Linked DNA regions of Caenorhabditis elegans. The protein of the gene in region 4 interacts with the protein of the main gene of each other region in a pairwise test. Each region holds a gene or a part of one and is shown on either strand. Other genes may lie near its edges.

Region 1 (7,963 bases), on a different chromosome or scaffold from region 4:
TGTAAAGTCAATCAAAATACTCGTTGTTTTTGCGTGTTTCCCCCTCCCCCTCTAGATGGTGCCTACACAACATCCCATTGCTAAAAAGGAATTTTTTTTTTCTGTGACCACTATTTCTCTCCGAGTTTCTCTTATTTCTTTTTTTTGCAGTTTCTAGTTGTAATTTTCCTTTGTACCCTCTTTTCCCATTTGCACTGAATAAAATGTCTGATTAATTTAAGGACTTTATCAGCTTTTTTCTCATCTTATTGCGATAGGAATTAGGAACTGTTGGGGATTCAGTTCACTTTTAGGCTTCCTGGTAAATAATATAATACGGGAACTCAAAATTCTGAGAATGCGTACTGCGCAACATATTCGAAGCGTATAATATCTCGCAGCGAAAACCACAGTAATTCTTTAAATGAGTACTGTAGCGCTTGTGTCGATTTACGGGCTCGATTTTTAAAATAATTTATTTAACGATAAAATATCAAAATTAATGTAAGAAAAAAAAGAGAAAATATCACGAAGAAACGTAGGAAAAACGAGCCCCGTAAATCGACACAAGCGCTACAGTACTCATTCAAAGAATTACTGTAGTTTTCGCTACGAGATATTTTACGCGTCAAATATGTTGCGCAATACGCATTCTCAAAATTTTGTTTTCCCGTAATATCCAAGAATGCTGAATTTTCATAACAATAAAAATAAAAACTCATTGTCAATAGATCCAGTGTTTATTTATCTGTCTAACCGTCTAAAACTCTAACTTTTCAGTTGACTCTCGCTCGATAGGTATCATTTTCATTAAAATGTTAATGTTTATAGTATTCTTTCCATACAATTTATGTGCCAACCACCTCTTCTTTTTTGCATTGAATCCCCCGATGGCGTCATCCTTCTCGTCCTCACCATTTGGTGTGTCTGTGTCTCTCCGTCCTATCCACTATCTTTCATCCAGATTCCCGGTTTTCCCGAGAAAAAGTGAGAGAGAGAAGAGGCTACTGCGCGGCGACACTGGCTGCGGACACCCTCACTCCTCTACTTGTCTCCATCGATTTTCGCTGGTTCGTCGAAGCCTCGTCGCCAACACAACTTCTTCTTCTTTTTCGTCCTCTTCTTTTCTGCCACACGCTTGCACAGCTTCTTCTTCTCATTTTACGCTGTCTACTTTTTTCGGAGGGGCCATACCCCCACACACAGCTCCTTTTATTTGGCAGTTTTGGCATTTTTGAGGAAAAGTTCTGATAAAATGTATGAAATGACGTTTATTTTTGTGCTTTCCAGTTTAATCTTTTGTTGAACTTGATCGCAACATAAATTTATGTTTCGAAATCTCTCTCTCTTTTTTGGCAAATCCCTGCGGAAATGAGAAAAATTTGAAAAAGAATTGATGATTCAGAATTGGAATTTTTATTTGTATTTATTTTTTTGAAAAAAAAAACAATTTAACTTGCACTTTTATTCTTCAGAGCCAAAAAAGAAATGGCTCAAAAATAGAAAATGATCATTTTTAATCAATAATTGTAAATACCGTACTTCATCTGAAGGCGCAAGCGGTTAATTCATTCCTTGAGTCTCACCACGAATACCGTAGTTACATTTAAAGGCGCAGGCCTCGACGAGTGTTTGTAAGCGCTTTTTTTTAACTTTCAGAGATTTTATTTTTTCGTCATTTTTTCCAAAAACAAGGAAATCAATTCAGTTTTTGATTGAATATGTTTCGAAAAAAGAAAGAACTGTCAATCACACAAATTCACATCAATTTCCACTCGAAAAACGGCACAAAACGATGTGTTTGGAAATGTTCTTTGGCACAAAAATCAATAAAATTGCCAAACTCTTTTGTGATTGTGGTTCCTGCATCTCTCCGTTTCCCCCAATTTACCTGATCACTTTCACGTTCTTCCGTAACTGCTGACGCATTGAATGCACCTGATTTTGTTTGCTTACTGCAGGTAGACCGACGCCAACCCCCCTTGCTGCTCGACATGCAGACTATCGAGAAAGCGCTGCATCAACCGATGCCTTTCACAACCGGCGGGCAGACTATTTCAGACCGGTAAGCGATTTTTCTTTTCGATTTCTTGTTTTAAGTTCGAATTTTCAAGAACAAAATTGTTCTAAATTCAAAATAAAAGTGTATGTTTTCAAAAATTTCAAAAAATCAGTGTTAAAATGTATAAAATAATTTTCAGATTGACAGCTGCAAAGCACTCTTTGGCTGGAAGCCAACTTGGCAAGACAATATGCAAGGCGACTACCGAAGAAGTTATGGCCCCGAAGAAAAAGCATTTGGATTGTTAGTTCTTGATTTTTTTAAAGCAAAAATCTGAAATTCTGCATGTCACAGCTGTGGGAAAATTGATTTTTAATTAATTATTGTCCTGGTTTGAGTTTGTCGCTTAAATTTGCTGATTTTTCACTTAATTTTGTTGATTTAGCCACATTTAGAGCTAAATTTGGTTGCAAAATAAATCAAACATTATGTAAAATTCAATTTCCAGCAGCTGCAAAGTAGGCAATTAGGAAATTTTTCGCTGAAATTAGCTCTCGAAATTAGTTTTTTTTGCCACAGGTTGAGTATACGAATATAATTCCAGACCTCCTTCACTGCACAAATGAGCCAAATGTTTCGATTCCATCAATGGCCAATCTTCTAATCGAACGGACTCAAAATCCAAATTGGACCGTCGTTTACAAGGCTCTCATCACAATTCACAACATTATGTGCTACGGAAATGAGCGATTTTCGCAATATCTAGCCTCATGTAACACGACTTTCAATTTGACCGCGTTCGTGGATAAGGTTGGAGGCGCCGGCGGATATGATATGTCTACACATGTCAGACGGTACGCAAAGTACATTGGCGAGAAGATTAATACTTATCGAATGTGTGCATTTGATTTCTGCAAGGTATGTTGGAGAATATATTCTCTAAATTCAAAAAAAAAATTAAAAGCTAAGTAAATAAAGTAAATTTGTGGCTTTAAATGGCAGAATATAGATCGAATATAACTGTAAAAATTATAATTTTGCAAAAATTGAAAAAAAAAAAACGATAATTATTTTAATTTAAAATCTTGGTATTGCTTTTATTGTCAGTGTTTCAAAAAATTTTCCTTTAAAAATGTGAAATTATCGATTTTTAGGCCTTTTGATATTTTTCTTTCTGATAATATAGTTTTTATCAATTAAATTTGTCTGAAAATTTACAAGCTGTTTTTCATATCAAATTTTTTTTAAATCATGAAAACCCAATCAGCATTGCAAAAAACGCGGGAATTCAAAAAGATTTTTTGCAAACTTGAAAAAAATCATCAAAAATGTTATAAATTTTTTAACAGTTATTTAAAGCAATTTTTTTTTGACTCTACTAATTGACGAAATATGAAATTTTCAGGTGAAACGCGGTCGTGAAGATGGGCTTTTGCGTACAATGCACACTGACAAGTTGCTCAAAACAATTCCAATTCTTCAAAATCAAATCGATGCACTTTTGGAGTTTTCAGTGACCACTTCAGAGCTGAATAATGGAGTTATCAATTGCTCATTTATTCTTCTTTTCCGTGATTTGATTCGATTATTTGCTTGTTATAATGATGGAATTATTAATGTGCTTGAAAAGTACTTTGATATGAACAAGAAGCAGTGTCGTGATGCTTTGGATACTTATAAGGTAAAAAAATACTTTTTTTTTCAATTTAAAAAAAAAAAGAGGTCTTTGAAACTTAATTTTCCAAATTTTCAGACATTTTCAGCACAACAAGTTTACATAAACTTTGAATTTTCGAATTTTATGCAGATTTTAGTTTTTTTTTTGCGGGAAAAAGTTATGAAAATTTGATAAATGATTCTTAAATTCAATTATAAAAAATATATCCTGTTTGCGCGGGAATTAAAAAATAATTCAGATTTTTCTAATGTTTTTTTTCAAAATAAAAAAAATTGAACATTTCAGAAAGTTACAAAAAACCGATTTAATCGGAAAAATCGGTTAAAAATTTTTATGATATTTTTTTCAATTTTGTAAAATAAAATCTGGCTTTTTGATTTTTTAATTTTCGGATTTTATGCAGATTTTTTTTTTTTTTTCAATTTAAGAAGCTTCGATGTCAAAAATTAAGAAGAACACAAAAATATTAAAAATTTCATTTCCCTAAAAACTAATAATTTTCAAAAATTTTGCAGTCCTTCCTCACCCGACTCGACAAAGTTGCCGAATTCCTTCGCGTCGCCGAATCCGTCGGAATCGACCGTGGAGAGATTCCAGATTTGACACGTGCTCCAGCGAGTCTTCTCGAAGCACTTGAAGCTCATCTCATCCATCTCGAAGGAGGAAAAGCTCCACCACCAACTCAACAACATGTTGCACCACATCAATTCACCACTGGATTCGCATTTTCTCAACAACCACAACCGGCACTTGGTGACGCTGAACGACAACGGTATATTGAGTTGGAACAAGAGAGATTGAGACAGTTTGAAGATCAGAAGAAATCGATTAATTCTGCAAATCCATTCGCAAATGATGTCGCTTCGGCTGCACCTGCTCCAGCTACATCAGCTGCTCAGCCGGATCTTTTGGATATGTTCCAATCATCGGCAGCTCCAGCTCCTCAAACGGCTGATGTGACGAATCCATTTGGGAACTTTGCAGCTCCAAGTGCCTTCCCAACGAATGGTACGTTGAAATTTTCCGAAATTAAAGGAATTGGCCTCAGAAAAAGATCGAATTTCATAAGGAGACTTTTCAAAAAATTTAACAAAATTTTTTATGCCATAGGAAAATTGAAAAATTGAAAAAAAAATATTTTTTAAATAAAATTATGCTGGTTAAAAAAAAAACATAATTGTCTTCTAAAAAGAATAAAAATTGCCAAAATTTTAGACTACTTTACGATAAATTTTTTTTACGGTTTTCAGGGAAAATTGAAAAATTGAAGATCGAAAAATCCAAAAAAAAATTTAGAAACTTTTTTTAATAAAATTTTGTTCAAGTTACTTTGTAAAAACCATTTCAAAAACATCTATTTTTATTCTGAAAATATGAAAAATCGCCAAAATTTAAGATTTTTTCGAAAAAGTAGAAAAAAAATCGAAATATCGAAATTTTTTTCTCTCTCATATCGAATTTTTTTTCTCTCGTTCTTTTAAAAAAATGTTTCCAGAGAAAATCGAAAAAATGTTTTTAAAATTTACAAAACAATTTGTTTTTATAAAATTTTTTATGTTGATTTAAAAAAAAACAAAAAAAATCTGAAAAATCGAAAAATTTCCGATTTTCGTTTTTTTTTCAATTTTCTTCCTAATCATGCCAACTTTCATGTGCTTCTGCGGCCGGAAATTAATTTTTATTTGATTATTTCTCCATTTCGGTTACTTTTGTCACTTATCCTACGGTTTTTCCGTTAATTTAGCCTCATTTTAAGCCGATGGCTGCTAAATTTCGTTTAATGTACCTAAATCGATGAAAAATATGCAGAATAGGCTTGAAAAATCGGGGATTTTAGCTGAAATTAAGCTATTTTGAACAGTCATGAAAATAAATAATTTTTTGAAATGTCTCGTTATGAAATTCTTTTTTTTTGTTGGTAATTTTGAATATTTTTAAAAAATCAGAAAAAAATATTTCGCCTTAAAATTTAATTGCTTCACTAACATTTAACCCTTTGTTTCCACAATCTATGTTTCTCTCAAATCTTCCTTTGTTTTTTTTTTCATTTCACCTATGTTTTAGTGCCACCACCAGCAGCACACTCGGCTCCATTTGGAGTTCAACCAGCACCGCAACATTCAGCTGCACCATTCTATGCGAACCTTCATCAAGCTCCTCCAATGCAATCGCAAGCTCCAAATGGTGAGTTGTGGCGTTGTGTGTGTGTGTGTTGATTTGCATGTGTGGTTTTTTTTGCTTGGAAAATAATAATTTTTTAACTTAATAATTGGGGAAAAAAATAAAAAATTAATCGAAAAAATTATTAAAAATGCGCTGAAATATCGGTAAAAATAAGAAAAAAAGATTTTTAAAAAATCGGGGAAAGTCGAAAATATTTCCGAAAAATTAGAAAACGAAAATTGTCGTTTTTTCTATATTTTATAAAAAAAATATTATAGGCGGAATTTTTTTGTTGAAAATTGTAAATTGACACTTTAATAAATTTTGAAAAAAAAATTTTTTTTTACATAAAATTCAATTTTCGATATTTCTATATTTACCTAGGAATTTTTCAAAAATTAAAAAAAAATATCAAAAAATCGGATAATTCATTTATTTTTCCTCTAAAATACTCCAAAAAGTTGTTAAAAACTCGAAAGTTTTAGATTTTTTCAAATTAAACATTTAAATTTTCTCTTAAAAAAACGTATACTATAATATCAAAAATTGAAATTTTACGTTTTTCAATCTTTAAAAAAATATTTCCAATGTGCCTCTGAAAACGCCAAAAAACGTTTAAAAAATTATCTTTTCGATTTAAATTTTTTAGAAAAGCGCTTTTAAAAAATTCTAAAAACCGAAATTTTCGATTTTCAACCTCTAAACAAAAATTCTCAATTTATTTTTTTCCGGGATTTTTCAATTTTGGCTTCTTCTTTTAAAATAACTTTTAAAAAGCATGTTTTGGTGGTTCTGAATATTTTCTCCTCCGTCTTGACGTCGTCATCTTCTCGTTGTACCTCTGGAAATTAGAAATATACCAAATAGAAAGTGTGGCAATTTAAGAGCCCGAAAACCCATTTATAACTGCTCCCGCGGCACCACAAATGCACAATGCGCCGCCCGTCCCACCACCACCAGCATCTCAGGGGGCTCCAGCTCCTATCAATCCTTTTGCTGATCCTTCAGCTACTGCTGCTTCTTCAGCACAACCGTTTGGGGATCCAGGTGAATTAACTCACACTTACTTACCTTTCGATTTGTTGCTAAAAATACACGGCTTTCTTTTTTTATAACAAAAGGGAATTTTTTCTGAAATATACTAAAACTGGTCCGACGCGACCAAATTTAGCATCGAGACTTCTCCAAAAATTTATAAATTTACAGAAAAAAGAGCCAAGTTTCGTTAAAATTTGAAATTTCTCAGATTTGTTTCAGTCGTAGCAGCTGGAATACATTTTTATTGAAAAATCATCTTTCATCGCATGTTTTGGGAGTTTGAACCGTCCGAAATATGCAATAGAGGGAGATTTTTCATTTAAAAATTGTATTCCAGCCGAATGAAACGATTCTGGGAAATTTTAAATTTTAACGAGAAAAGTAAATTTTTGAGAAGTTTCAGTCTATTTCCGCAAAAAAAAACTCATTAACTCTACTTCAACATTAATACAGTTTTACAGTTTTTCATAACCACCCCACATTTCAGATGACTTCAAATTTGAACAAAAAAATGTAAAAATTAAAATATTAATTCCAGGTCATCAAGCTGCTCCATTCGGATATCCAAATGCTCATCCAGATGATCTTGCTCGAATGACTGCACAAATGTCATTGAATCAGCAGGGGTAGGATTATTTTTGTCAATTTTAATGCAATTTTTGTTGCAATTTTTTTCGTGACTCACGACACGAACGAACCACTAGGGCTAGATTATACATATTACCTTTTACAAAATTTCACAATTTCTAAAGAAAATCGAAAAATCTTGCCTAAAAATATCTTAGTTACAGAGCACCGGCCGGCTGGAATACCACAACTTCTGCCGTCTCAAACAATCCGTTTGGAGCAACGTCGGCTCCTCAGCCAATGTATACGGCTCCAATGGGAATGTATCAACAACCATTTGGTGCTCAGCCAATGTGGAATCCTGCGATGGGTTAGTTTATCGAAAAAACGAGGAATTTTTTTAAAATTAGAATCTCGGAACAATTGAATTTTTATCTAATTTTTCACAATATTTCAAGATTATTTTAAATGTGAAAATCGATTTTGAAGCATTTTTTGTTAATTTTTGCTTCATTTTCGAAATATGCTCATACACC
Region 2 (7,901 bases), on a different chromosome or scaffold from region 4:
TTGTAAAAAATCGATATTTCCGCTGGGAAAATCGATAATTTTGGAAAAAAAAATTAAAAAATCAGCCGAAAATCCATAATTCATTAAAAATCGAAAAAATCAACTATAATTTTGAAGAAAAATCGATATTTCCGCCAGGGAAAATCTATCTTTTTTTACAAAAAAATTACTAATCTGCTGAAAAAAATCGATACCAATATGACCTTTTTTCTGGGGAAAAAACGGCAATTTGCCAAAAAAAAAATCAATATTTGAAACCCAGGTATTGTAATAGAAAATCGATAGTTTTGTGGAGAAATCAATTTTTTTCAGCATTAAAATCGGGTTTCCCCCAAAAATCAAAATTTTTCTGAAAAATCCCATAAATTTCAAATTTCCAGCCTCCCACCGAGCCCATGCCTATCCCATCTGACATTCTTCTCAATTGCCGGCACTCAAATCGCCTCTGTCTCCGCCGTGATGCCCTTCTTCCAGACAATTCCCTCTCTGGATCGTCTTGTCTTCTGTGAAACTCCGCTCGTTGAAAAAACCGAAGAACTTCGTGCTCAGCTCCCTGGAGTTCGTCTCATTCCGCACTGGTTGTGAAGACATTTTTCGGAATTTTTTTCACCTTTTTTTTTGTGATATTTCTTAATTATTACCTGTTCTTCTTATGTATTGTTGTGGACGGAACGTAAACCTGAACTTTATACAGACGTGACCTTTGGGTCATCATGAACTTATCGCGTAAGCGACCTCTCTTTATAATTCATTTACTTCTTACACTTCTTGTAATAAACTACTTCTCTCCTTGTCTCTCGCTCAATACACAACATGTATGTATGATACATTATCGATTTTTGATTTTTTCTATATAAATTTCAGTATTTTCTTTTGGTAAACTCTCCCTTTTGCAAAAAATGGCGAATTTTGCTTAATTTTCGTGCTTTTTCCACAAAAATCATGGAAATCGCTTAACATTTCGCGTTTCTGGTTCCCCGCAAGTGATTTTCCAATTTCGAAATTTTCACATTTTCCAGTCCCCGCTGAAAAAATGCGTATTTTCAGGTTTTCAGATCCCCGAAAATCACTATCCACAAAAATAATCAGAAACGTGGGCGGAGCTTCGCAGGCCACGCCCATGGAAATGTTTCGAAAAAAATCTGTAAGACTCAAAAATTCGGTTTTTCTAATTTCAAATTTTCAAACGGCTTTAAAGGCGCACAGAAATAGGCCATGCCCACAAAATGGGCAATTTTCGTTTCTTCTCAAAAATTTTTAAAAACTTGATTTTCTCCATTTTTCTAGTTTTAAATAGCGACTTTAAAGGCGCATAGAAATAGGCCACGTCCACAAAATATACATTTTCCAAAAAAATTCTGAAAAATTACACAAAATTCGGATCTTCTGATTCTAAAAGTTTGAACAGAGTTCCACAGAAATAGGCCACGCCCACAAAATTAACAATTTTTTTTCTTCACACAATGAGAGAGTGCAAAGAAAGAAGAGAGTACAGACAGAACGTGCAAAGTCGCTCTACGGATGATATGCGGGAAATTCAGAATGTTCATCGATTTGGTTACGACACTGTTCTTTTATTAATTAAATTTTAAAACGCGAAGAAAACCCCATTAACTCAGGATTTTTTTTTACAAAAACGATCAAAGTTTTGGTAGTTGAGTAGTATGCCTCATGACCCAAAAATATTTCCAGTACGTTTTCCATTAAAAGATTTTTCAAAAAAGTTAGTTTCCAGATTATAAACTAACAAATTTTAGGTAATTTTTTAAGCCGCTACATTTTTTCTAAAGAAATTTCATTATGAAATTCGGTGTTATCAGACAATTTCAAAAGTTATAAAGCAATAAAAAGGGGTCACATATATTTTTTTTTTTCGAAGTGGTTAAAATTTACGGGAAAGGTATACTACACAAGTATCAAAATGCCATACTGCTTTTCAATATTGTACTTTGTTTAAGTATCACAAAAGATGTACACTAATGACGAGCTCACGGAATTCATGGATTTCCTAGTGGAACAGACAAAGGATTCCATCTATCCATTGGTGGCAAAAAAAGTATTCAAAAAATTTCCCAATCGTCGTTTGATCCCGGAAGATAAGCGTTACCCAAGGTAAACAGACCTGGACTTGGCTTTTGTCATCAACTTTTTTGTTTAGATTTTGCTCACATTTTGCACCGAAAATGAACGAATTTAATAAGTACAGTATTGAGGAACGAATTCGATTGATGTATGCATTACGTGGAAAAGTTGAAGATGATTTTTTGACAAGGTGGGGAATAGTAATGGTGGTGAGAAAAATGAGGAGAGTGTGACCAAATATTATCGTAAAAAACTATTTTTTTCCAAATTTTATATAATTTTTTAAAATTCGGATACCGTATATTCTCTATTAGTGCGGCACCCCCATCGCTCACCTTTGACGTCATATGTCTTGATTGATTTTGAAGATATTAAGACCTTTTAAAACATTAAGCATAGAAGGAGTTTTAACAAACATTTCCGTAGTTAAAGACTTTTTACCAAAATCAAAGGTGACCGAGATATGAGCTGTCAAAGTTGAGTGGTGGGGTGCCGCACTAATAGAGAATATACGGTACTTTTCAATTTGCATCGAATTCTGAATTACCGCCAAAACTCCTATCGCAGCTTGATCTACAAAAAATGCGGGAATTTGTTCTACAGAAAATACAATTTTAAACTATGCGAAACCAATTTAGAAGTATGTGTCTAAATTCCTGCAATTCTCGGAGATCAGCCCAACATGGGACATTCTGACACCACGTGATTTTTTATTGATTTTTCAGGTTTTTTTTGTGTAATATTACTGGAAATTTTAGTGAGAAATTCAAGATAAATGTAAATTTTTTATTAGAAAGTATGCAAGCAAATCTGTGAAATCAATTTTTTTTCAGGATTGACGTCGCTCTTATTCCGACGCTTATAAAATAATTTACGTTTATCTTGAATTTTCTACTAAATTAGCAGTAAAATTACACAATAAACATGAAAAATTACACGAGGTGTCAGGTTGTCCCATTGCTCCACAGTACATGAAACACGGGGTTCTGGCCTTTCTCATTGAATTTTCGCGCTCCATTGACAATCGCCTGACGGACAACGCGTGGAAAAGTCGTGTACTCCACGCGGACAACAAACTTTAGTTTTACAACTAAAACGAGCCGCGACGCGACGCGACACGCAACGCGCCGTAAATCTACACAAAATCTCTCCGACCCAAAATGGCCTAGTTCGGCAACTTCTGCCATTTCGATTTATGAGGGAAGCCAGAATTCCGTGATGAAAGGCGGGAAAATATTTTTTGAAAATTTGTGACGTCCGTTACAGCGCATTTCGAATGTTTTTTAGAGCGATTTTTCAAATAACTTTAAATTTATTTGAAAAATTATAAAAAATGTCACGAAAATTTGCGCTCAAATTAAAAAATAATTACTCGAAATGCGCATCTTCAAATAATATTTTCCCGCCTTTAGTGTGCGATAGGACAGCCTGAAACCACAAGAAATCAGGCAAAAAAAAAGAATAATCTATCAATAAAAATGAAAATAATGCAAGCGCGTTCCATCAAACATCGAAATATAGGCAAATTGAGAATTTTCCAATTTTCAAAAAAATCATATAAAATTTAGAAAAAAAAAGTTGAATTTTTTACCTTTTCGATATAAAATCTGAAATAAATTACAGAATTCAAGCTCATGGAACTGTTGAGCTCAATGAAAAACATAGAATCTCAAAATTCATCTCGAATGACGGAACATTTTCCTTGGAAGATGATCGTGAACGTTTATCAATAGACACTACAGGACTCGAATTCGTCAGGCTCTTGGACTTCCTTATCGAAAAAACTAGAGATGTCATTGAACCATTGCTGGTGACAAAAAGAATTTTTCAAGAATTTAGCCGACTTGAGCCCGGTCCGAGGCATAAACATCCTGACAAAATGTATAATAGGAAGTGAGATAGGCATACCAATATAGTTTTTGTATTTAAATCATTTTATTTTAGATTTCGCTATAGTTTGGCACCAAATATGAATAAATATAGTGACTACAGTATTGAAGACCGGGTTCGATTATTCTTTGCGTTTGGTGGTGAGATCGAAGACGATTTTCTGAGGACGTAGGTTTTAAAAGATTTTTTAAACAGTGCATGATTTTTTGTGCACATCAAAAATTAAAAAAAAAACGGGTTTTACAAATTTTAAAACAAAATCGATAAATCATGGATTTTCGATATATTTGACCACTTTTTTGTTAAAAGTGGTGTAGTCAAACATTTTCTATTGCCTTATTATATTCAAAATTGTCTCAAACACACAAAATTTCATAATGAAACTTCTTCAAACATCTTTTAAAAAGTCACGGTGGCTCAAAAATGGCTTAAATTGACACCACGTGCCTTTTTGAAAAAGCTCAATAATTAACTAGTATACCCAAAAGTTTCCAGCCGCTTGACAAGTCTGTCAAATTTCACATTTTAACTAATTTTAGGTCATTTTTTGAGCCGCCAAATTTTTTTGGGAAGTTTCATTGTGGAAATTTGATGTTTTCAGACAATTTCGAGTTTAATAAAGTAACAATAGCCCCTTAAACTTCAAAAAACACTATTTTGCAGAATTGAAACCCATGGAACTGTCCAATTGGATGATAAGAGAAGAATCACAAAATATGTCTCCAACGACGGAAATTTCAAATTGGAAGGGATTCGTCGTCATATTATGTCAAAACCAGCTACAGGTCCCGAATACACGAGATTCATGGAGTTTCTTATCGAAACGACTAAAGATGCAGTTGAACCAATGAAGGTGCCCTTAGTATTGAAGGCATTCAAGCGCCAAGAAGGTCGCAAGTTTACAGAAAATGGATATGGTAGCAGGTTAGAAGTACTGTCTTTTGAATTAAAAACATGCTAACAAGGAAAGACTTTATATTCATTAACGGACTTCCATAAACCATAGTACTAGTTCTATTAAAAAGTGTTATTTGTGATCCCTCCGAAACTTTCAGCAGGTTTGGCAGAGCAAGTTGTGTGAAAAATTCCTTGATTCCAAATGCCGTATATTCTCTATTAGCGCTGCATCTCCAGCAGTACTGCAGTCTCTAATAGTGCTGCATTCAAAAAGGGCCTGGAAATTAGTGATACATGCAGCACTAATAGAGAATATACGGTATTTCTTTTGAAATTCCAGCCTCTTTAAAACTCCAACTTGTGAGTTGTTTAAAAAAGTACAAATCTTTAGCTTCAAATTCAGTAGCTCACTTCAATGGTTTTCTAAAGAATTATAAGCTGAAACTTATATATATATATATATCCATTTTTGTATATGTTTTTCATTTTTTCGAACAAATGAAACTATATTATCAACTTAAGAAACAAGTTTTTTGAAACTTTTGAAATGTTATCAAAGGTGGTGTAGGCAAATTTTTTTTATTGCTTGATTAGACTTGAAATTGTCTGAAAACACCGAATTTCATAGAGAAACTTTTTGAAAACTTCTCAAACAAAAAAATATGGCGTCTCAAAAATGACCTAAAATTAGTTAAAAATTTGAATTAGACCAACTTGATTTCGATGGGTCGATGAATCGCCAGATGTGATAAAATTTGGTAACTTCTGGTGGTTCATTAATTTTAAATATACCTAAATCAATTTGAAAACGCGAGAAAATAAAGTTAAATACCCAAAAGTAGAAGGTTACTTTTTTGTGGCCACTTAATTTTTTTGAGAAGTTTTCAAGAAGTTTCATTATGAAATTCGGTGTTTTCACTCAATTTTAAATATAATAAAACAAGAAAAACATTTTGACTACACCAAGTTGCAAATAATTTCTTTTTTGACAATTTCAAACAATTTGAAAATCCTAGATTTCACAAAAAGCTGGCACCAAATATGAGTAAATGGAGCAAATACAGAATCGAAGAGCGCACCCGAATGATGTTTGCAATGAAAGGCAAAGTTGAATCTGATTTTCTTGCTCAGTAAGTGTTGAATTTCCATATTCCATGCACTTGAATGAGTTTTCAGAATTGAAGCATCTGGCAAAGTCCAACTAGATAAAAACCAGCTAATTGTCAAATATACTTCAAATGATGGAGAGATTGAACTGGGAGGAGAGACGAGATTGGTTGAGAAGAAGAAGCGGAAATCTACAAATTACCACAAAATGCACCAAAAAAGACGCAAAATCATTCGGTCTGTCACGGATGAGACGAGTTTGGTTGCGAAATGGAAAAGAAAGTCGGACAGTTACTACGAAATGTACCAAAAGAGACGCAAAATCGGGGAGAAAGAGTTGTCTGACACGGCTGAGGTGGAAGAAGTAGCGCCATACGATGAGGCTCCCAATGAAGATCAAGATACCCAATTAAATCCATTTAATGCAATGAGTAATCTAACGACGAACGGTCCATCATCGAATGCACAGGAGTGGTCTAACGACGAGCCAAAGCAGGAGCCTGTATTCGAGGATATCTTCATTCAAAATCAACACTTTCCTTCAGAAATTGAAGATGTTCCAATTCAAGAAATTCGCCGTATTGAGCCAGACACCAAGCTTGCCTATTTGAACATAGGATCAAGTGTGCAAGGAGCTGTAATTACTGATTCTGGCGAGATCAAGCTTCATAAATTCTTGAATTCGTTAGAACTCATTCTTACTTCTCTCGAATCAGATACTCTAGATGATTTGTTAAACGATATTGAAGGGATTCGTGTTCGAATAAATGATGAGGTAGCTAGAACTTCAAATGTTGAAATAAATTCAGGACTTTTTTCAGATTCTTCCACCAGAGCTAGTGATCACTGCCTTGCAGACGTTCTTATTGGGAATCACTCGCAAGTCTCGATCCGCAGCGTCAGCAGAAAACAAATCATCACACGAGTGTCTGAGAATCTTCAAATATTCATTGCTTTGGCTCAGAAGCCCTTTGCTTTGGGAGATACAACAGAGGGTTGCGGAAGAAATTGAGAGTCACGTTATAGGAGAAAAGGTATGTTTCATTGAACATGTTGGTCTAGGGCTTTCATGTAGGCGTTAAACGCCTGCCTGCCTCACCTTCGTCTCAACCCGCGCCTTATACTTTTGATTATATCGAATTGATAAAATTGATAAAAGAAAATTAAACTTTTGTAAATTCACGTCAAAATACAAAAAAAAGGCAAAAGACCGAGGGGCAGGAATCAGGCTCTAAAACCGTGGAAGCCCTACGTTAGTCAAATAAACCCTAATTTATTTTCAGATTATCCTAGTCGCCGATGTTCAGCAAGGTATTCGGAACATTCTCTTTGCGGTTTCCAGCTAATTAACTTGAAACTTTTCATAAATATCTTATTTATTTTTTACATGAATAATCTTGCTCTACTTCACGAACTTCTATCTTGCACAAAAAATCAATAATTTAATCTTCTAGAAACTAGAAAGTATTCGTATCATTCATTCTTAAAATAAGTGTAGCTACACTTATTTTACATGTATTTAGTAATATATTATCGAAAAACACGATCTCACAATTTTCTCATAATTTATTTTTGATCTACCTTGTTGACTAGACTCCCTTCGACTAAAACAGCCACAACAAAATAACAACGACACCAAGATTGGGGCACACAAGATTGGGGCAAACAGGTAGATCAAAAATTAATTATGAGAAATTTGTGCGATCGTATTTTTTCGATAATATTGTTTTTGAGTCCAGGTCACAAAACGGTGCAGAATGAGATAGTGCAAAGAAAGAAGAGAGTACAGACAGAACGTGCAAAGACGCTCTACGGATGATATGCGGGAAATTCAGAATGTTCATCGATTCGGTTACGACAGGGTTCCTTTATTAATACCCAAAAAAGCCCATAACCTCAGAATTTTTTCTTTTTTTTTACAAAAA
Region 3 (4,059 bases), on a different chromosome or scaffold from region 4:
ACGGGTAGAAAAACATTCAGTTTTATAAATTAGATAAAATAAGAAATTAGACGAACCAAGGAAAATCGGACGTGACAGGAACAAAGAAGGTATGTAGGCAGGCCAGATAAGAAGCAAGTTAGTGAACTGGCAGTAATGAGGTAGGAAAAATAAGCGTTTCCCAGGTCTGGTGTAGGCAGATTTTGAAATGTAAGAATTATTGTTTTCAAAATTATTTATCGAGATTTTTTGTTGTAAATCACAAATACATGTTTTGGTGTCACCAGAACGCTGCCGCTGCTGTTTTAGACCACAATAGGTGGGAGAAAGGTGGCAAACGCGACTGAATTTCGAGTATTTGTTGAATAATTGTGATATTTTTACAAAAGGTGGGGAGCAGGTGGCAAAAAGGTGGGCGGAAGGTGAGAAGACCTCAAAAGGTGGGAGAAAGGAGGCACTAAATGCCGAGCAAATACAAATCAATAATATCGCTTAAAATATGAGTTTATGCAGTGGTGATAATACTTTTTTAAACAAGCGTATATTTCCAAATATTCGTAACGATATAAATAAGAACAATCCCGAAAAAAAGAGAAATCGGTGAAAAATGTGATAGAGAAATATGGAGGGATGTGTGATAGAAACATGACTCGTATAGTAGAAACAGATAAGGAAAATAAAATTAGCAAAGAAAATATGAATTCACCAGGAAGCTGAGAGTTGAGACGAGATTCGTATGTGAGTAGATACCTAAGATTTGGGGTTTTTTTGGGGTTTGTGTGCGTGATTGGCTAAGTAGAACAGAAAATATATTGGTTCGAGTATATGAACCTGAGATATTCAAGTAAAGAAGTGATAAATTGTTTTAATTATAAATTTTGAGATTATGGATTCAAGATCTTAAGAATTACATCTCAACGTCAACCATCTCATCTTGTTGAGAAGGTGTAAGTATCGTAGTTGGGATGATTTGTGGAAAAGATGTTGGAATAGTTGGACTATTCAACAAGGAAGATTGTAGGAGAGATGCCAAGTATAATGACATTAATGGATTTGGCTGAAGGCTCAGCAGAGCTGATTGAATGTCTGGAAGGAAAGATGGAGTGACTGGAAGTGTTGGTGACAACAGAAGAGGTGATGATCCAAGTTGAGGAGTTGGTAGGGATGATGTAATAATCGATGCTTCTTCTTCAGGATCTGTCTGAATTCCGCTGTCTGATGAGGATTCGCTTCTGCACGGGGATAATGGAGATGCTGAAAAAAGGAATTTAAATCATGAAATTAAACTATTTAAAATTATGGTTTACCTTTCTCATAAGTTGGCATAACGTTGTAAATCATATCAACATGGGAGCATGGACCATTGGAATGAGCAAGTGCTCCTTGGACATCTTCAAATTTAGCGCCACATCGACAAACACATGGGGAGGTGTTGTGAAGATGGCTTACATGACTGTTCAATACAGATACTCTTTCATCTTCAAATGAGCACAATTGGCAACGATAGAACACTGTTCTCTTTTCAGAAATTATGCATCGATCAGAGTCTGAAGAACACGAAGAATCCATTGAACTGTTGGTGGCATCGAAGACTTTCGAACGGCTGTATTTGGAGACAACACGGATTCCATGAGTTTCTGAAATTATTGAGGTTGGAGAATACATTTTCAGGTATAGCAGAAGCTAATTGATTACATTTCAAAAATTGTTCTAAGCTGCCAAACTTCAAATCTGACAGAATTACAAAAGGTTTAAAGCGAATTCAAATACCTAAAGTAATAGAAAAGTAATATGAACTCACTTGCAACATGTCGAATAAGGTCAGCCTTCCACTTGCTGGTTCTGGAGCAATAACGACACTTGAATGGTCTTTCACTGGTATGAACTCTCTTATGACGAATCATCTCAGACACCCATTTTCCTTGGTAACCACAGGTAGAGCAGGTGCGTGTAGATACATCAGGATCCAATTCCATTTTTTTCATTTCAATCTCATCATCTGGTCCTTCAATTGCTTCTTGTTCACTTAGATATCTCTTTTCAAATGGTTGATCGTCGGCTTTGCGAGCAACAAGAGCATCAAGAGTGTTTGATGGATTGGCTACTTCACCACGTCGTCTTTTACGACGATGTTCTTTTTCAGGTGAGGAAAGAGTTGAGAGTAGAGTGGATACGTCAAGGGCAGTGAGCAACGATTCACAATTCATCTTAAATTTACGAAATTTAAAGAATGCAATTAAAAAGTGGAAATGTTATAGTAAGTTTAGAAATGTTATTTTTTCAGTTGTTAAGTTTGCAGATTCTAATATTGAACCGAGATCAAAAATAAGAAAGAGTAGACCACGAATGAGAAAAAGTAATGAAAAGAAGGTGTGGGAAAATTTGGAGAAAGAAAAAGTATCAATGTACTTGGAACTGGAGGAACATTCTGATATCTATTTTGTCTAGAAAGACGAGAGAATTGGAGATAAGAAGTGGAAAAAGTGAAAGTTGCTCCAAGATAAGGGAAGGGTCACCAGGAAGCAAGCGCCGATTCGGGAAGGAATGGATATGGCAAAATGCGGATGGGGCGCGCGGTACCTTTTCGCTCCTACCACAGTATGTTGACACAAGTTTTGTTGGGGGAAAAAGAGGAGGAGGCCGAAGGGTGGGAGGTCGTCGCATCAGCGAACTGTTCACTTCCGGGGCTGACTGACTTTCACAGCAACAGCAGTAGGAGGAAGAGGATACGTTTACTTTTTACAAAATATCAGCAACACACAACTCTTTCTTGCGCTCGGCCACAAGGTTTTGGTTGGACAAACAGTTCGGTCAGTGAACTCGTTTTGAGCCAAAGCGTACGTGAAGTTGGAGCATGACGTGGCCATATTGAGATCGGATGACCGTTGATGGGAGGAGAAAGAGTTTTGGGAAAGTTATTTGGTATTGGCTCACCTGCTCCCAGTTAGGCATAGTGCTGCAGAGGTACAGGCGCAAAGGCTACTGTAGGTGGATATAGGGGACGGCTAGAAAAATAGAAAAGGGACCGTGGAGATTTTCAAACCCAACTAGAGTATTCCGAGATATCTAGTGCTTACTGTAAGTGAATGCAAAAAAGAAGAGTATGATGTGTATTATGAAGGTTAATTATTGAGAGCGATCATCTTTCGAAAAAAAGTGCACTTTCCGAGCATGAAATTGCCAACTCGGATTTCTAGAGAATTTTTGAAATCCAGGGCAACAAGAACCATTCCAGAAAAGAACGTATTTGAAAAGACTGCAATAGTAATTCTAGACGTCTTGTGGGCTTTTACCAGGCACAGGTAAGTTAGCCCTAAAATGAATATGAACTTACAAAAGTAGCTAGGTGCTTTTTTCTTTTCAAATAAGTGTAAAAACTACGGTAGGCAGTTACTCAAAATATGACGTAGAGTTTAACATAAACCTTACAAATATCAACTCGGGTTTCTAGAGTACTTCAAGTATTTTTGAAATCTAGGGTAACTAGAACCAAAACATATTTGAACATAATTTCAAAGATGACCTTCTTCAACGTCTTCAATGCCTTCTTGTTCCTAATCGTCATCGTCTTCTTCTCTTTTTCAATTCAGGCACATGTTTGCTCAAGCACAGTTTGCGTAACCACCACCATCGCCGCGGCGTCTCCTGCAGCCATTCGGTTTTTTCTCGCGCCCTCAACTTCTTCGAGGAAATCCAAATAGGAACAACCTGGTACAGAATGGTCGGAAAGGACCTCAAGGCGGCCCCGCACAGTTCAAACACATGACAAGCAGTTTTTAGGAGTAAAATGGAGGAAGTAAAGGTAATAGAAGAAGCATCGGTTATAGTAACCTAGATAAAGTAAAAGTGCATTTGTGCTCATTCGCTAGTTTCTGCCAAAAAGAGCAGCACTGTCAGCTCCTCGGTTCCAGGAGGTACCAGTTGAAGCTCTTATCACTTACACTTTTGCGCCGAAAACGTGTGGGCTGGAGGAATCACTTGCTGCTGAGTGTGCAAGTTTCACGAATGGCAACAAAAGGGCAATTGATGCAAATACTTTTTTTTTCCAGATTTTCAGACAAATTGCCTCTCGTTCAAAAA
Region 4 (4,889 bases):
TTAAAGAAAATTCTGAAAAAAAGTGCAAAAGTGGAATTTTCTGGATTTCCAAAATTCCAATTATCTGGATAAAAACCACGTGTAATTGGTTTTTTTTTAAATGAAAAAATTTCTCTTTTTTTTACCTAAAAAGTAACGAAAAATCCATTTTTCTGTTCAAAAACTCGCAAAAAATTGATTTTTTACTTAAATTTCACTGAAAATTCCCATTTTTAACCTAAAAAATCCCAAAAAAATCGATTTTTCGCGCTAAAAACCCCACAATTTTCAGTCGTGAACGTTAAAAATCGCCATTTTAGCTAAATTTCCACTGAAAATTCTCTTATTTTTTACCTAAAAATTAACGAAAAATCCATTTTTATGTTCAAAAACTCGCAAAAAATAGATTTTTTACTCAAATTCCACTTTTTTTTTCGATTTTTTGAATTTTTAAGGATCCGATTGGACTTTAGTGTTGCCAATATTTTATAGCGTTTAAATTGAAAAAAAAACTACGCTTTTTAAAGAAAATTCTGAAAAAAAGTGCAAAAGTGGAATTTTCTGGATCTCCAAAATTCCAATTATCTGGATAAAAACCACGTGGAATTAGATTTTTTTAAAATTAAATTTTCTCATTTTTCTGAAGTCATAAGTCACTTTTAAACCCTTTTTCCAAAATTATACCTCTAAAAATGACTGAAAATCATCTGAAGTATCTATTCCATTTTCTGGAATTTCCGATTGACACTGTAGCCATTCCGACGGTACGAGACCCACTTTTTCTGAAAAAATCATTATTTTTGGAATTTCAGAGCGCAATTTTCTCACTGGAATCATCTCGATTCTCGTCATCATGACTCTCTTTCCGCCTCGCCAGTGCTCCGAATCCGATTTTTCGAGTTTGCCACCAATATTGGTCCTTTTCGTCGAGGATCTCTAGAATATCACCGCCGCGGAAGGAAATTGCAGCTTCTGGGCAGGGATGACGTTTGTCCTGCCATGGATCGTAGTCGAACTGAAAACTAGGAAGAATTCTAGGCTATTTTTACGGAATTTCTACTTGGAAATTGAAAAATTTGCGAATTTTGGACTAAAATTCTGAGAAAAACTAGAAAAAACCACTTACCAAAGCTCGGGCATACCGATGTGACGACTTTTTCTGCTTTAACTTCTGGTTTATTTCTGCAGGGATCAGCTTGAAGGTTATCTGAAAAATAATATTGGAAATTTGAGAAAAAACGTGTATTTTTATAGATTTTCTTAAAAACTTTTTTAGTTCAGGCTAAAAGTTACAAATTACTGAGAAAATGCAAATTTTTTCTGATATTTCAGGTTTTTTTTTTAAATTATAATAAATCCATCTTCAATGTTTTTTAACAAATACAGAATTTTTTAGCAATTTTCAGGTATACAAGACGATACGAATATGTGATTTTTTACAAATTTTCTCTGATTTTCGTGATAAACTGCTAGGAAATTGTTGTTTTTTCGAATTTTTTAAAACAAAATCACTAACAATTCCATTATCACATTTATCCAGCAGCTTCACGATTTCCCTGGGCTCCTTATCCGCTACAGTAATCCCATTGACCTCCAATACTCGATCGCCTTCCTGAATACATCCACTACGGTCTGCCACACCGTTCGCCATTATTCGTGCCACGTATACTTTGCCACGTTCGCATTTTATTGTTGCACCGAGGGGTTCGCCACGTCGCACTATTCGCACCTGGAAAATTGAAACAAAAAATTAGAAAAATGAAATGGAATATAAAATTTTTGGGTCTGTTAAATATTTAGCAGACCAAAGTTGGGTATGCTAAATATTTAGCAGACCCAAACCAATATTTAGCAGACCAAAGTTGGGTATGCTAAATATTTAGCAGACCAATGCCAATATTTAGCAGACCCAAGTTAGGTATGCTAAATATTTAGCAGACCCAAGTTGGGTATGCTAAATATTTAGCAGACCAAAGTTGGGTCTGCTAAATATTTAGCAGACCATTGCCAATATTTAGCAGACCCAAGTTAGGTATGCTAAATATTTAGCAGACCAATGCCCATATTTAGCAGACCCAAGTTAGGTATGCTAAATATTTAGCAGACCAAAGTTGGGTCTGCTAAATATTTAGCAGACCAAAGTTGGGTCTGCTAAATATTTAGCAGACCAAAGTTGGGTGTGCTAAATATTTAGCAGACCCAAGCCAATTTTAGCAGACCAATAGAATTTTATAAAAGTGGAAATTTGAAAAAATTGTCAATTTTACTAGCCAATTTTTCCAAAATTTTGAAAATTTCAATAGAATTTCCGAACAAAAACCGTCGATCCTCACAATTTTCACAGCGACCCCATCATCCTCGTCAACTTCGAACGGAACGTCTGGAAGCTGCGGAGCAAACCGCCCGGCTGAAATTTCCTGCGCCGCCCATAATACTCCCTGTACACGTGGCAAATTTAGGAGCTCAACGAGTTGCTGAACCGACGAAGATTTGATATTTGAAATGTCCCAGTCGTCGAGAACGTTCTGTGATAGTTCTTGAAATGAGATCTCTTGTTTCTGGTCGTTTGTTGAGAAATTCCGCAGAATTGATACGGCTTTTTGTTGCTTTTTCGTTAAACTTGTTCGTGGAGGCCTTTCGTCGTCTGGAATTTCAGTAAATTGGTGTTTATTGCCACTTTTTTTTTCAAAAGTAGCTAAAATTTGCTTAAAAACCATAAAAAACTTGATTTTTTTAAGATTAAAAATGTTTAAACTAGCTTATTTATCTACTTAAAATTCTAAAAACCGTATTTTCAAAAAAAAAGTTATATTTGGGTCTGCGAAATATTTAGCAGACCAAAATTCCTTTAATTTTCGCCGAAATTGTATTATTCTTCCGCCAAGAATCTCTTTTATCTGCTCAATGTCTTGCAATTTCTCGATTTTCAAACACGTACTCTCATTAGATGTCCCCGCTGCTACTTCCTCTGCATAATCCAGTATTGTTCCAAATATTGCCGATAAATTGTCGGGCATTTGAGATCTGGAATTCGGTTTTTTCTTCAAATTTCTTCAAATTTCAGCACTAATTCGTAAAAATACACGAAATTTCTGTCAAAAAATCAATTGAAAGCGAAAAAATGAGCACTTTAGTGTAAAACAAAGGGGGAACCTTTTAATTTAGAGGGGCTCGGTTAAACAAGGCGTGCGGCGGAGTGTCGTTGCAAGGAAATTTGAATTTAAATTTTATTTTTTCAGGTTTGATAAAACGTATTTAAATTAAAATTTATGACATTTTTTTATTGTAATCGTTAATTTTTCGAGTTTAAATCAATTTTTGGCGAAGTTTAGTTCATAAATATCGACTTTCCTTCGATATTTCACAATTTTTTCGATTTTCTTCGAATTTTTCAATCATTCTTTTCTGATTTTGGAATCGAATTCCAGAAATTTTCGAAAATTAACTAAAAATTGATAACAAAACAAAATAACTGAAAGTTGTCCACGAGGAGTCCACAGAATACTTTCGTGGCGGGACCCGGCAGCGCGAAAACCTAGATTTCGAATTTTCATGTGAATTTTCACGTTTTTTCTCTGAATTTCGGTTGAATTTCTCCCCATCTTCTAATTTTCCAACAAATATTTCTGAATTTTCAGCAAAAATTCGGCGCAGATGCGCTTACTGACCCTCGCACTACTCGTCGCGGGTAGCTTGGCCTATAAATTCGAGGATTGTGAGCAAAAACCGGCAGGTAAGACTTTTTTAAAGTTTCAAAATTAAAAAAAAAATAATTTTCAGCTCTAAACCAGGTCCTTCGTGTCGGCGCCAAGCTTTACTCGTACAATCTCGACTTTTTCTATCAGAAAGCACTACCTTACAACGCGATATACGCGTTTACCGATGTTTTTTTGCAGACTAATCTGACAAATGCGGATCAATATCAGTTTTATCAGGTAGGTTCTCGGGAAATGCTTGCGAAAATATAAAATGGAGTTGTTTCAGGGTACAAACTGCACAACTGTTCAACAGCTTTACGATAATGACAATCGTTATTTCGGAATTTTACGGAAAGCCGCACTTTTGAGGTTTGGACCGCGAAAAAGACACAGATTTTATGATAAATCAGCAAAAATTTGTTGGATTTCGCTGATAAATAGAAATGTGCAACAGAGAAACGTGGAAATTTTGGTCTGCTAAATATTTAGCACACCAAAGTTGGGTATGCTAAATATTTAGCAGACCCAAAGTTAGAAGAAAGCCAATAATTCCGAATTTTCCGTCTAATTTTAATTAAAATTCGATTAAACTTTTGCGTTTCTGCTAGGATTTTAGTAAATTCATCGAAGATTTTGCAGAAAGTCACGGATTTTCGGGTATCCCAACTCTAGCTGTAAAATATTCTGAAAAATCCAACAATTAAACTAAATTTTGCAGATCTCATCAGTTAAATCCGTTCAATGACACAATCGTCGGCGTCTCCACAACTGAACCATACGAAATATCGGTTTTAATTTGGAGTTAGTATTAAATTGAATTTATTTTTAAAAAATCGTTAAACAAATTCTTCCAGAAGTCAACTATTTCCGTGTTGGTGTCTACGTCGGAGCAATCGTGCTATTTTTGCTCGCCAGCAAGCTCGTTAGAAATGTCGTCTTCTACTACACCAGTGGATGTTCTTTCGGATTGCTCGCTTCACTGCTCTTGGTGGCATTTATTGTGTGGCGTGTTGCGCCGAAGGTATGGGAAATTAGGTTCTGCTAAATATTGGCAAATTCATCAAAAAACTCCAAATTTTCAGAAAACAATTGGAGTTCCGATCCTCATTGGTGGCTGGTCAGTCTCCCTTTACATGCTTCACTTCGCCTGGTCAAATCTTCAAAGCATCATGATTGAATATCAAAAATACGTGATCGGATACTTTGCCACGG

Evidence for each region.
Region 1: the proteins of magu-1 (region 4) and unc-11 interact in a two-hybrid assay, tested with the Caenorhabditis elegans proteins (2 studies listed by BioGRID).
Region 2: the proteins of magu-1 (region 4) and M57.1 interact in a two-hybrid assay, tested with the Caenorhabditis elegans proteins (2 studies listed by BioGRID).
Region 3: the proteins of magu-1 (region 4) and ztf-2 interact in a two-hybrid assay, tested with the Caenorhabditis elegans proteins (2 studies listed by BioGRID).

The regions. Positions count from the first base shown.
Region 1 is NC_003279.8:3,799,715-3,807,677, reverse strand, and holds the start of unc-11 (Phosphatidylinositol-binding clathrin assembly protein unc-11), read left to right. Parts: upstream 1-1,938; 5' UTR 1,939-1,973; coding exon 1,974-2,044; intron 2,045-2,180; coding exon 2,181-2,284; intron 2,285-2,585; coding exon 2,586-2,899; intron 2,900-3,386; coding exon 3,387-3,662; intron 3,663-4,174; coding exon 4,175-4,667; intron 4,668-5,723; coding exon 5,724-5,843; intron 5,844-6,707; coding exon 6,708-6,869; intron 6,870-7,398; coding exon 7,399-7,486; intron 7,487-7,645; coding exon 7,646-7,797; intron 7,798-7,963.
Region 2 is NC_003282.8:3,531,683-3,539,583, forward strand, and holds M57.1 (SPK domain-containing protein), read left to right. Parts: upstream 1-1,958; 5' UTR 1,959-1,969; coding exon 1,970-2,112; intron 2,113-2,158; coding exon 2,159-2,272; intron 2,273-3,705; coding exon 3,706-3,975; intron 3,976-4,026; coding exon 4,027-4,140; intron 4,141-4,635; coding exon 4,636-4,896; intron 4,897-5,885; coding exon 5,886-5,999; intron 6,000-6,045; coding exon 6,046-6,751; intron 6,752-6,797; coding exon 6,798-7,010; intron 7,011-7,259; coding exon 7,260-7,322; 3' UTR 7,323-7,381; downstream 7,382-7,901. Other genes in the region: M57.2 (Geranylgeranyl transferase type-2 subunit alpha), read left to right, coding at 381-585.
Region 3 is NC_003279.8:7,289,399-7,293,457, reverse strand, and holds ztf-2 (Zinc finger protein ztf-2), read right to left. Parts: upstream 2,187-4,059; coding exon 1,781-2,186; intron 1,617-1,780; coding exon 1,287-1,616; intron 1,234-1,286; coding exon 887-1,233; 3' UTR 506-886; downstream 1-505. UniProt on the Caenorhabditis elegans protein: Transcription factor. Represses gene expression, probably via binding to DNA consensus sequence 5'-[AT][CT]TTCC[AC][AG]-3' in promoter regions. May play a role in pharynx morphogenesis.
Region 4 is NC_003281.10:468,700-473,588, forward strand, and holds the start of magu-1 (MAGUK family), read right to left. Parts: upstream 3,004-4,889; 5' UTR 2,997-3,003; coding exon 2,918-2,996; intron 2,624-2,917; coding exon 2,313-2,623; intron 1,709-2,312; coding exon 1,496-1,708; intron 1,187-1,495; coding exon 1,106-1,186; intron 995-1,105; coding exon 808-994; intron 762-807; coding exon 664-761; intron 1-663. Other genes in the region: nemp-1 (Nuclear envelope integral membrane protein), read left to right, coding at 3,634-3,712, 3,760-3,914, 3,964-4,046, 4,396-4,478, 4,532-4,698, 4,760-4,889.